Linked DNA regions of Sus scrofa. The main gene of each other region encodes a partner of the protein of the gene in region 2 in a complex. Links are inferred from orthologs where the notes say so. Each region holds a gene or a part of one and is shown on either strand. Other genes may lie near its edges.

Evidence for each region.
Region 1: TRRAP (region 2) and ING3 share a complex: the UniProt entries of both Homo sapiens proteins name them as parts of the SWR1-like complex. The link is inferred for Sus scrofa from reciprocal best matches to the Homo sapiens genes TRRAP and ING3.

The regions. Positions count from the first base shown.
Region 1 is NC_010460.4:25,955,362-25,960,632, forward strand, and holds part of ING3 (inhibitor of growth protein 3), read right to left. Parts: intron 3,501-5,271; coding exon 3,404-3,500; intron 1,616-3,403; coding exon 1,544-1,615; intron 701-1,543; coding exon 581-700; intron 343-580; coding exon 185-342; intron 1-184. UniProt on the Homo sapiens protein: Component of the NuA4 histone acetyltransferase (HAT) complex which is involved in transcriptional activation of select genes principally by acetylation of nucleosomal histones H4 and H2A.
Region 2 is NC_010445.4:5,968,207-5,973,477, forward strand, and holds part of TRRAP (transformation/transcription domain-associated protein), read left to right. Parts: intron 1-2,168; coding exon 2,169-2,222; intron 2,223-2,351; coding exon 2,352-2,372; intron 2,373-4,005; coding exon 4,006-4,125; intron 4,126-4,367; coding exon 4,368-4,487; intron 4,488-4,818; coding exon 4,819-4,983; intron 4,984-5,078; coding exon 5,079-5,260; intron 5,261-5,271. UniProt on the Homo sapiens protein: Adapter protein, which is found in various multiprotein chromatin complexes with histone acetyltransferase activity (HAT), which gives a specific tag for epigenetic transcription activation.

The DNA.
Region 1 (5,271 bases), on a different chromosome or scaffold from region 2:
TAACTTTTATCAATCAAGTAATTTCTGCATATTCATTTCATTAAATGTCAGCTATCATAAAAACTATGATTTGAAAATAAAACTATACAACGCAAGAAAACTCTTTGTTCACATCTAGTTGCTTCTATTAAGAGAGGATTCAGATAAAATTTTATATTCTGTTTCCAAACCTGTTCCTTTTTACCTGAGCTGTAGCTTGAACCGCTTGAGCTGCTGCCATGGTAATTGCCCCTGCACCAGTTCCTGTAGATAATGAGCCAATATTATAGGATGCCAGAGGTTGGGAGGAATTCACATTGTAAGCGTTGTTGGAAGAGGCTGCAGAATTATTATTTCGACAACCTGTACAGAATTAAAGAAGAAATAAAAATGCTTAGAACAAAATGTTAGTGAGCCCTAGCACAGATTTAATCATTAAATTTAAAAACTTCATGTCAGCTTTTTCCTTTTTCGTCTTTTTTCCTATGGTAGATTTTAACCAGGTAAGGAATCTATATAGTTAATCATATAGTTAATCATTTCCCTTTATTTTGGCACGAATGAAAAAAAAAAGCAACTGTATTTAAGACAGTAAACTTACCTAGTGTATTTTCCTTAGAAGCATCTGATGTTAGGGTAGATAAAAGAGCTTCTGATTTAAACTTCTTTTCAGGTATATGATCTGTTGTTGTATGGTGAGAAGTTGGATTATATTTCCTTTCTGAATATAAATAAAGAATTTATGTGTTTTTAAATTTTAGAGAACAATGGAAAAGGCATAATACTTTCATCTGGTCATAAGCCAATATAGTAATGACCTGAGTTCCTCATGGAATACAGAACATTATGTTTTCCTAGAAGACAAGACAAACAGAATCCTGTCTCACACGTGTTCCTAAGAGCAGACTGCGTAGACAATAAACTTTTTTGGAGTAGACACTAAAAAAACTTTTTTGTAGCAATGTACTGAAGATAACCCGTGATGCACATGGTTTAACATATAACATGTGGGGAATTTTGTTTTCAAAACATTTTCTACAATTTAAAATAGTCTTCCATCAACCTTTCTTTCATAGCAAAAAAATGCACCGATACAGTCATCTAGCCAGCTAGCATCTGACAGACCATTCATTCACTCACTAACTCACCAAACTATTTGAGAATTTACTATATGCCAGACAGTAAGGTAAGCACTAGAGAAGCAAGGATGAAAAAGATAAAGAGCCCATAATTGTGGAGTTTACTGTTCTGCTCAGTTATAATGCTCCCTGGAGAGAAGCAGGTATCGATATGCAGTGAGTATATGCTGCTATTAGTACCACACATCGCCCTCTGTGAATCCCAGGGAAAACAGGCTACCTGTTCCCAAATCACATCTGCTCTTCCCAAATGAAGAAGATAAATCCACCAGTAATTGCATGAAAAAACATATCTCACAAAATAAAAGGGGAGGATATTTGTTTCTCAATCAGTCGTGTAGAGGTAATGAAAGAGAACATATAGGTAATACAATGAATTTTCAACTGTCTTTAAAATAATTTTAGCTGCCCTAAATCAAACTTACTTTCCACTGGCGTATGTGAATGAGCATGGTGATTGTTCACGGGCTGTGAAGGCGTATCTAATTCCAGAGATCCTAAAAAAACAGGGAGGCACAGAGATACAGGGCCATGAGATCGCAGCAGAGAACTTTATGTGTCAATCAACTACAGGCACTGGGTACCCTTAACCAGGAGATGTCTGGCAAGCTCTGATGCCTGTGTCTGTATTATTTTAGCCAAACACATTAGAGGGTCACCACCGCCAATTTCACCCTGAGCCAACCTCATCCTCTTTCTAAACAGTAAGTAATCCATTTTTCAGTGCTCACCTTAAGTACAAAATAGGTCAAGGCACGCTAATGTCTAATTAGGGAATTCATGACATTTGGGACCATGTAAGTGGATGAATGAGTATCATGATTCCATTACTGATAAGAACTGAAAAACTCAACATAGTGTTATTGAAGACCTTTTAATAGGAGATCCTAAAGTATTAGGCAATGGGACATCACTGTATGAAAGAAAATTCTCTGATCATTAAAATGACATACGATAGCAAAGACTTTCTAAAAGAAGGGATTTTGCTCATGAAAAATGATGCATAAAATCTTTACCGCCAAGCTTTAAAATACTTTTGAAGAAATTTTCTGGGTTTATCTAGATCCCTTGAGATGAAATCATGGCAGGGCGCAGGGTGGAGCCATTTTTTAACTTGATTTGATTTAGTTTCATATGTCTGTGTCCTTACAGAGGATGCTTCATTAACCTTCCTGCAGTACTGAATAGCCATGGATTACTGTTACTCACAATTATTATTGGCATTTCAGAAAAATAAAATATTTTATTTTGTCTCAAAATAGCTATTATTCTTGGTAAGGGTTCCCCTGGAATAAAAACATCACAATAAATTAGATGGTCATCTAAAGTGATGGGCTTATTTTTGAATACAAAAATGCAACTGTGGGTACATTCATATCCGGTTGCTTCCCTAGCTGACTTCTAGTGAATACATAAACAGGGATATATAACCTAGCACCGTAAAGAAACCTTTCACCTGTGTGTAGAAATAGGTACATGTTCTTGCTATTGAAACGCACCAAGAAAAGAGATATTCGAACCCTTTAAATTCTAGTAGAAATCAGCCATAATGCTGATTTGATTCAACTAACATTTAGTGAGTGCCTACACTGGGCTTGCCACCACACTATCTGATTTGATGGACATTATCCATTTAGGTCGGAAGTGATGCTAAATTAGTTAAAGAAACAGAGCTCATGTCTCCATTTTAGGGAAGTCTCCTGAGTTAAACCCAAGAAGTGATAAAGGTAAATTATAGCGGGAGATCAAGACAAGGCTTGCAATGAAATATTAAAATGGCTTCTTACTGATAAGAGAAAGTTTAGAAAAGACTTTTTTGAGAAAAGGAGGAAGTGTTGAAGAACTCTTTAAAATCTGAGTAACACAGTGGAGGAAAAGCTTTTTAAGGCAGTTCTTAAGAAAAAATAACAACCTTCCTCAATACTTAGGTGCATAAACAGGCAGGGCAAAGTCACAACATCTAACGACAGATGGCTACCCTGCTTCTAGACGGTTATATTTCTTTAAATCTTTGTTCTTACCACTCTTCTAACTAGCATATACGCGTATTAACAAATGGAATGACCTAAGGCTTTATTTTCAGGAAAAGTGAGTGGTTGATATACTGCATCATCTCTCCAAGTATCCATGACCCAAACAGTCCGACTGCTGGGGACCAAGCTATACCACCCAGGTGCCACTGTTCACCAAAGAGCAGATGGAAAAGTCTCTGTGGGACGTGAGTCTCCTCAACGACGTGCACATGTACTGTCCAACGGTGATGGAAAACTGTAAATTTTACTTACGCCTCTCTAATATTTCTGTAATTCCAGCATTATCAGCTTCCAGCTCCATTTTAAACTTAGCCAGTTCCTGATCCAGCTTTCTCAAGTGTCGATCTACCTGTTTCAAAGAAGATCAAAGATAACCACCACAATTTGGGACACTATTAAAGTGTCAGTTTAATGAGGAAATCTAAATTTCTATTTCTTTTAGTGAATGTGCTTTTGCATCCCTGAGCAACTCAATTAACCTATACTGCAGGTTTTTAATCTACAAAATGAGGGTGCTAGGATAAATATCTCCCACGTCTCCTTGAATAAATTTTAAGAAACCAGAATTGCAATTTGTTAAAAAATGTCTGAAAGACGTAAGATGTAACTGATCCGAGAGATGAGGGGGTTAGTAACTTTTCACAGTATACCCTGGGGTTACTTTCAGCCTAATCTCCTACTTATAACAAGGCTATCCACACTGCCAGACCATAGTAACTGTTATTTAAAATAAGGAATGAAAAGATCCTCAGTCTACAAACAAAGAGGCTCCTATATTCCATACATACGTTTCTCTAAGGCAGGAAAGTGAACCATTATGCTTGTAAACATTTATGTAAAGGGTTGAGACAAAAGGGGTTTTTAGTAAGCAAACTCCTTTCCACAAAGAGCTTGGTCAAAATGGTTTTATTGTAATACTACTGCCCTTCGTTAAGGTGGCAAAATTGTTTTCTCACTAACCTAGAGATCTTTGAATTGATTTCAGAAAATTTTATGACACCTCAAACTAGCAACAAGTCTTAATGTATTTTTAAAGCTTAATATTAATTTTATTCAATGCTTTTTCAAATTTACTATTTTGAAATAAAACCAAAAAATACAGTCTTGAAAAATTCATGTCATAGTATTGACAACATCTTTTTTCAAATAGTAGTTTCCCACTTAATCACTGTTATAATTAAGAGTACCTTTCTTACAAATATCGAAATGGCTAGGACACATCAGAGGGCAAAAAATTTAAACTTTCAATTAAATAATGTGTATTTAAAATAAGGGAGTAGGGAAGAAGAGTAGCAAAAGATAATTTGTAATGTGCTTGGCGCATTAGATGGCCTGTTTTCTAGTCCTTGCTCTAATCTTTTAAGATAGGTTATTACTACCTCTATTTCCTAAGCGAAGAAACTAAGGCTCAGAGGAGTTAAGCAGCATGCCCAATTCAATAGCTAATGCATTACAGAAATGAGACTTAAAAAATTGTGCTTCACTATTTATACCTAAGATTGCCCTCTGAACTTCTGCATGCAGGAGCCTTTTTTTTTTTTTTTTTTTTTTTTTAAACTCAAAGCAATATAATTCAAATGGAAAAAAAGTGAGAATATTATTTTATTTACATTTTGTATATTGACAACAATCACTGGGGTATCGGTGATTTTCAATAATTCAAAGCCCAATTTTCCCTCCATCCTCACACGCAAGTTGTTTTTCAGAGCTTGGTGGAAGTTGTAATTACAATATTTAAAATCCTAGGGTCACATATGAAAGATACGTGCTCCTATTCAAAGAAGCTGCAGGTAATTTAGCATCCTTTAAAGGAACCTCCATTCCAATAATCAAGTGTGAACACAGACCTTAGTGACTCAAGAACATCTCTTACAGATTGTCAAAATTTAATCTCAAGGGAAATCAGAAAAAAATACTCATATTTAAATTCCAAGTCTACCTAATGCAGTGAAAATACTCCGCCACCTTCCTTACCTACAGCTATACTACTAATAAACACTGAGTTCCTATTATGAGCTTGGTGCCAGGTAAATGGAGAATACCCAAAGAATGAGAGAGAATCCCTGCCTTCAGAGGAATCAGAATTTAACTGACAAATCAAGATTTATATGAGATTTTTA
Region 2 (5,271 bases):
CGGAGGTGTGGGTTTCTGTGACTGTGGTCCATGTAAACTGTTCCACATATTTCGTTAGCATGACATTTCGCTTTGATTTCTCTTAATTGTTGAACATCCCTTTTCGTTTCTTTAAAATCTCCCTTTTGTTCACTTCAATACGACGTTTTTGTTGAGGAGCGTTCTGGGGAGCTTGACGTATTCGTGCATTTCACTTGTGTTAGGTTTTCTTTAGTGTGCTTTCTCGGCTGTTCTTGGCACGGGGTGTGGCCTCAGCTGCTGTTCTCCATTGTTTTCCGTCACCACCGCCTCATAAACACCAGCTGGCGGTTTTAGGACTGAAGAAAACATTAAGGAGAATGTAGGCAAGCACCACATAAAAACGAGCCTGTGTATTTTCTGGGTCCGAATCTCCCACCCAAGCTGTTTGCCAAAAGGGCCAGTACTTTGAAAGCACATTTTTATGGCTTTGAGGGAAAACCACGTTGGCTGAATATTTTTAAGTATCTGATGTTGGCACTAAAAACTTCGTCTCCTGCAAGTGAACGGTTCTTGCTGTTGAGAGCCCACTCTTCTTTGTTAATGTTCTTTGAAAATGTCCAAGGTGACGATTGTCCTCTCAGTGGGGTTTTGTTTTCCACAAGTTCCCATCACGCCCAGTGAGACTCCACGCCAGTGTCCCGACGAGGGGATCCCGAGTGCTTCGAGGCGTAGATAACAGGGCTTTGTGTCTTCCTGTGCCTGTTTGTTGGCTGCTGTGTTCCATCCCAACTTGTGTTTTATTTATTTCTTTTGGCTTTTTTATACTTTGTTTTGACCATTCTGTGTCAAGGTGTTTTGTTGATGTAAGTCTTGTTTCCTGCTGCTCCTAATCAGCCAACAAGCAAAACCTAAACCAGGACTTGAAGCTTTCTTTAGGAGTGTTAAACTGCCCATGACCTTTCTGATGGTTTGGTATTTGTGTATATAGGGAAAAAAGCAGGAGATTTTCATGGGGGAGAGCAGAGTGTATTGTAAAAGCCTCCGCTCTTGGGAGTAGATGCACGTACCTCTGCTTTTCTTCCCCATTTCTCATCTTTTAGGTATTTTTGCCCTAAATTGTTTTACAATTAGATGTTAATTCTCTGAAACATACAGCCAGTTCTAGAATAAACAGTAAAACCCTAGTGGGCAGATGAATGACTTCGCTTAGATCAAAAAGATCCCATAAACTTCACACCAACTTACTTGGGATGGGGGCACTTGCACAGGGGTTGGGACCGTGGGTACCAAGAAGTCCTTGAGCTCCTATTGAAGCCCCTTGATCCACCTCCGAGCACGTCCCCACGAGCTGGAAGTGTCCCGCTGCTGAGGGAGGCCGAGGCAGTGTGGCCACACCGCCTTTCTGCCCTTGAGCTCTGATGGCTTTTAGTAGATGCCCCAAGGCTGGGAGTGGGTCTTGGAAAATAGTTTGTTTTTATTTGCTTGGGTTCCCAAGTACCATTGCCCAGTTGTGATGACATATTAAAGTTGAATAAAATAAATAAAAGCTCCCCGTAATAGCGAGTACCCCTGCCGATCAGAGCTTTGCATTCAATCCTGTTTAGGAAGGTTCCATGTAGAACTTAGAGGGGAAAACTCACGACCACCCGTCACACACACACACACACACACACACACACACACACACACACACACACACACACACACAGCTTCATTTCACCAGATAATGTCGGCCTGTGGGCTGTTCTGGGGGTGTGGGCCTCAAACATGCTTCATCGAGGGGGATCAGACCCCCTGCTACGCTTCCAGCTTTAGCTGGGAAGAGGTTTTTCCCTAAGGTCTTAGCACTTGACCTCAAATCTTGAAGTACTCACTTTAAACAAAACAGTATTTTAAAGAATGTGTTTGCCTACAATAAGGTCTTAAAGTTTCTCCCCCAGATGAGAATTCTGAACCTCCTGTTCTCTACATTGGATTTAGGCAAGAGTCCACTCCAAGTGACACCGTCAGAAGGGCTGTTTTGACATCTGAAGGGTGGAAGGTGTATTTTTTTTTTTGCTGCTGAGCATTTGTGAATTACTGTGTGCTTTCTGATAACTGTCTTTCCTGTCTTGTTTACCCCACTAATCCTTCCTGTGTATGAGTACTGGGGACGTTCTGTGTCAATAACGTAAATAGAAAAAGCTGATTTTCCTCCCCATCTTCAGGAGAGCATTTCAGAGTGCGGGAGGTGTTCCCTGTCTCCATTCTGTCAGTTTGAGGTGAGAACAACCTATTAACAGTCAGCTTATGACTTGCACTGTGAAGAACAGTTTATATTTCCTTTTCTTTGCTTTTCCTTTGACCTTTTCGTTGCCTTTTTTCATGCTGTGATTTTTGTTTTGGTTCAGCCTGCCGCGGAAGGGGTAGAGGTGAGAATCCCAGTGGAGGCGCAGGCGGGGTTGTTGTCGCACTTGGCTGTGCTGTGACTTGTGGTTCTGTGGTGGACAGCGTGTGTCGTGCCTCTGAGTGCAGTGAGCCGTGTCGTCCGTCTGTGGCGGTTGGAGTAGCACATGGCCGTGACCTGTCCACGCATGTTTCCTGTGAGGACGTGTTTAAGCCAGATTCTCAGTTCGTTGGGGTCCTCCACGCTCGCATCACACTCTCTCAATATTTACAAGATGCAGGCGGAGTTTGCTCTCAGAATGTTTGTGTGAACTCAGGCGTCTGACAAGCTCTCGAGAGGAAATGCCACCAAGAAATCACGCCACCTGCCAGGGGCTGGGAGGCGTTCCATTTCCCGTCACGCTCTGACCAACTGCCGCACACTGGAAACCTACGGGCCCCTCGCCCACCCAGGCCCCCGGGCGTCTCAGGCCCGTCCCGCCGCCGAGGGGGGCATAGCGCCCGCCGTGCCTGCCGACTGCCCGGCTCTGGCTGCCCCTCCTCTGTGAAACGGGGGTGATGACCGCTGTCATTCCTGCCTTCGGTGGGGAGGGGAAGGCACACGAAGTGATTTCCTGACGGTGCTTTGAGAACAAAAGCCCTTAAGACGAGAGCACCGTCGTTGGAATGTCACTCTCATTGCAGGGTAGCCCTTGGGCTGAAAACTTGAACCCCACAGGCGAGGGCTCTGGAGGAGGCACGGGGTGACACCGAGCTGGCTTTTCTCGTTTCTTACCCATCTCACTGCTTGCCTCTTGGCTTAAAGGGGCATCTGGAGAAGCGTCTCGGGTGCTGCCAGGTGCCGTGGTCCATCACGGCTGGTGTTTATCATCCCCGTTTTACCGCGTCCAGAGTAATGGGTGTCCTGTCACACAGCCACCCAGCTGGGACCTCAGGGCGTCTTCCCTTCCCCGTGGCCTGAGTAGCAGCCACAGCACCGTGGGGACTGAGACCGAGAAGGCTGGGGGGACCCCGATGGACTACCCAGCTGCTAGCACATGAAGAAGTGCAAAATTCTTGGTGTTTCCCGTTTTTCGTATCATTCCGTAAAGCAGTTTGTCAGCTGTGTTTTCGGGCCTGGTTGACAAATCTCTAGTGCCACACACAGTTGGTCATTTATTTACATGGATAATTAATTTCCAGGGTAAATTACTTCAGTACTTGTTGAGGACTTTCTCTGTGCTAAGGTTTGAGGGCAAGAGAAGTCTGTGCCCTCAGAACCTAGTGCTTCGGGAAGACTCCATGATGTCATGGCCCCCTGAGGGACTTCTGACACGGCCCCGCGGGGCGAGGGGGCGAGGGGGCTCTCGGCGGCAGCCCTGGAGGTGACTCCGCCCCTCGTCCGTGTGCCTGAAAGCAGACACGGCATCCCTCAGGTGCACGGGCAGCTCCTCCCGGCCACAGTTGACAGGTGCAGTCTGGAGGCCAAGGGCCCCTAGTTTCCTTAGGCCACAGCCGTGATCTGAGGTGGGTACGTTGTGGCTTTTACATGTTACCTCTGCTTCTGTGGGCTAGCCTTGCGAATGTAGCTAGAGCACAGTAGGGTCTGTAGCAATGCTGGTATCTCTAACTAGCAAAATCAGTTGGCCTATGGCGTAATTTCTGGCTTCTCTTCCTTAGGAAATGAAAATTTGCTCGGCAATCATAAACCTCTTCCACCTGATCCCAGCTGCACCGCAGACTCTGGTCAAGCCTTTGTTGGAGGTTGTGATGAAAACGGAACGTGCTATGTTGATCGAGGTAGCGGTCGAACGCGGGTTGACGCTCGTTTTTCCTCCGTCTGTCGTTGCTTGCGGTGTCCTCGCCTTGTCGTGTTTTAGATGATTGACCAGGAGCGTAAAGATGTCAGGTGTTAATATTTGCTTGTGGTGCCTGCACTCCCAGGACAAGGCAGGGAAAGGCACACGGCTGCCCTGTGAGGTCGCGAGGCCGGAAAAGCCTCCAACCTCAAAAAAATGCAGCCTTCACCCCGTGTCCTGTAGGCTGGCAGTCCATTCCGAGAGCCTCTGATCAAGTTCCTGACCCGCCACCCCTCGCAGACGGTGGAGCTGTTCATGATGGAAGCCACGCTGAACGACCCCCAGTGGAGCAGGATGTTCATGGTGAGAGCGGGGCCCCTGCCGGAGCTCTACCCGAGTTTCTGTCTCCCTGCTCAGTGGCCTGCTTTTGTTTCTCTCCTGTGTGTGTATTAGCAACACTGTTGCCCATGGGAAAAGCTCACCCCTCTGTCTAGGCATTTGGTGGGGTAACGAAGGAAGGAGCTGCCAGGATTAATGACAATCGTGATGCGTGGTAGCTGTCGAAAAGCCTTTTTTGAAGAGGGTGCTTACATGATTTTCCTTTCTTTTTAAGCCCCCTTAGAGTTCCTATCATCCAAACATTTTGTGAGTTTTGATTCGCTTAAAACACCTGTTGGGTTTGCTTGGTTTTTAGAGTTTTTTAAAACACAAAGACGCCAGACCTCTTCGAGACGTGCTGGCGGCCAACCCGAACCGGTTCATCACGCTCCTGCTGCCGGGCGGCGCCCAGGCGGCCGTGCGCCCCGGCTCGCCCAGCACCAGCACCCTGCGCCTGGACCTGCAGTTTCAGGCCATCAAGGTAGCACTCCTGTCCTCTGGACGCCCGGCGTCCCGAGCGTTCCGGGGAGGCCAGCCAGAGCCCTGTCGGCATCCCCCCTGTCTCCTCTTTGGCAGATCATCAGCATCATAGTTAAAAACGACGACTCCTGGCTGGCCAATCAGCACTCTCTGGTGAGCCAGCTGAGGCGCGTGTGGGTCAGTGAAACCTTTCAGGAACGACACCGGAAGGAGAACATGGCTGCCACCAACTGGAAGGAGCCCAAGCTGCTGGCTTACTGTCTGCTGAACTACTGCAGGTGGGCGCCTC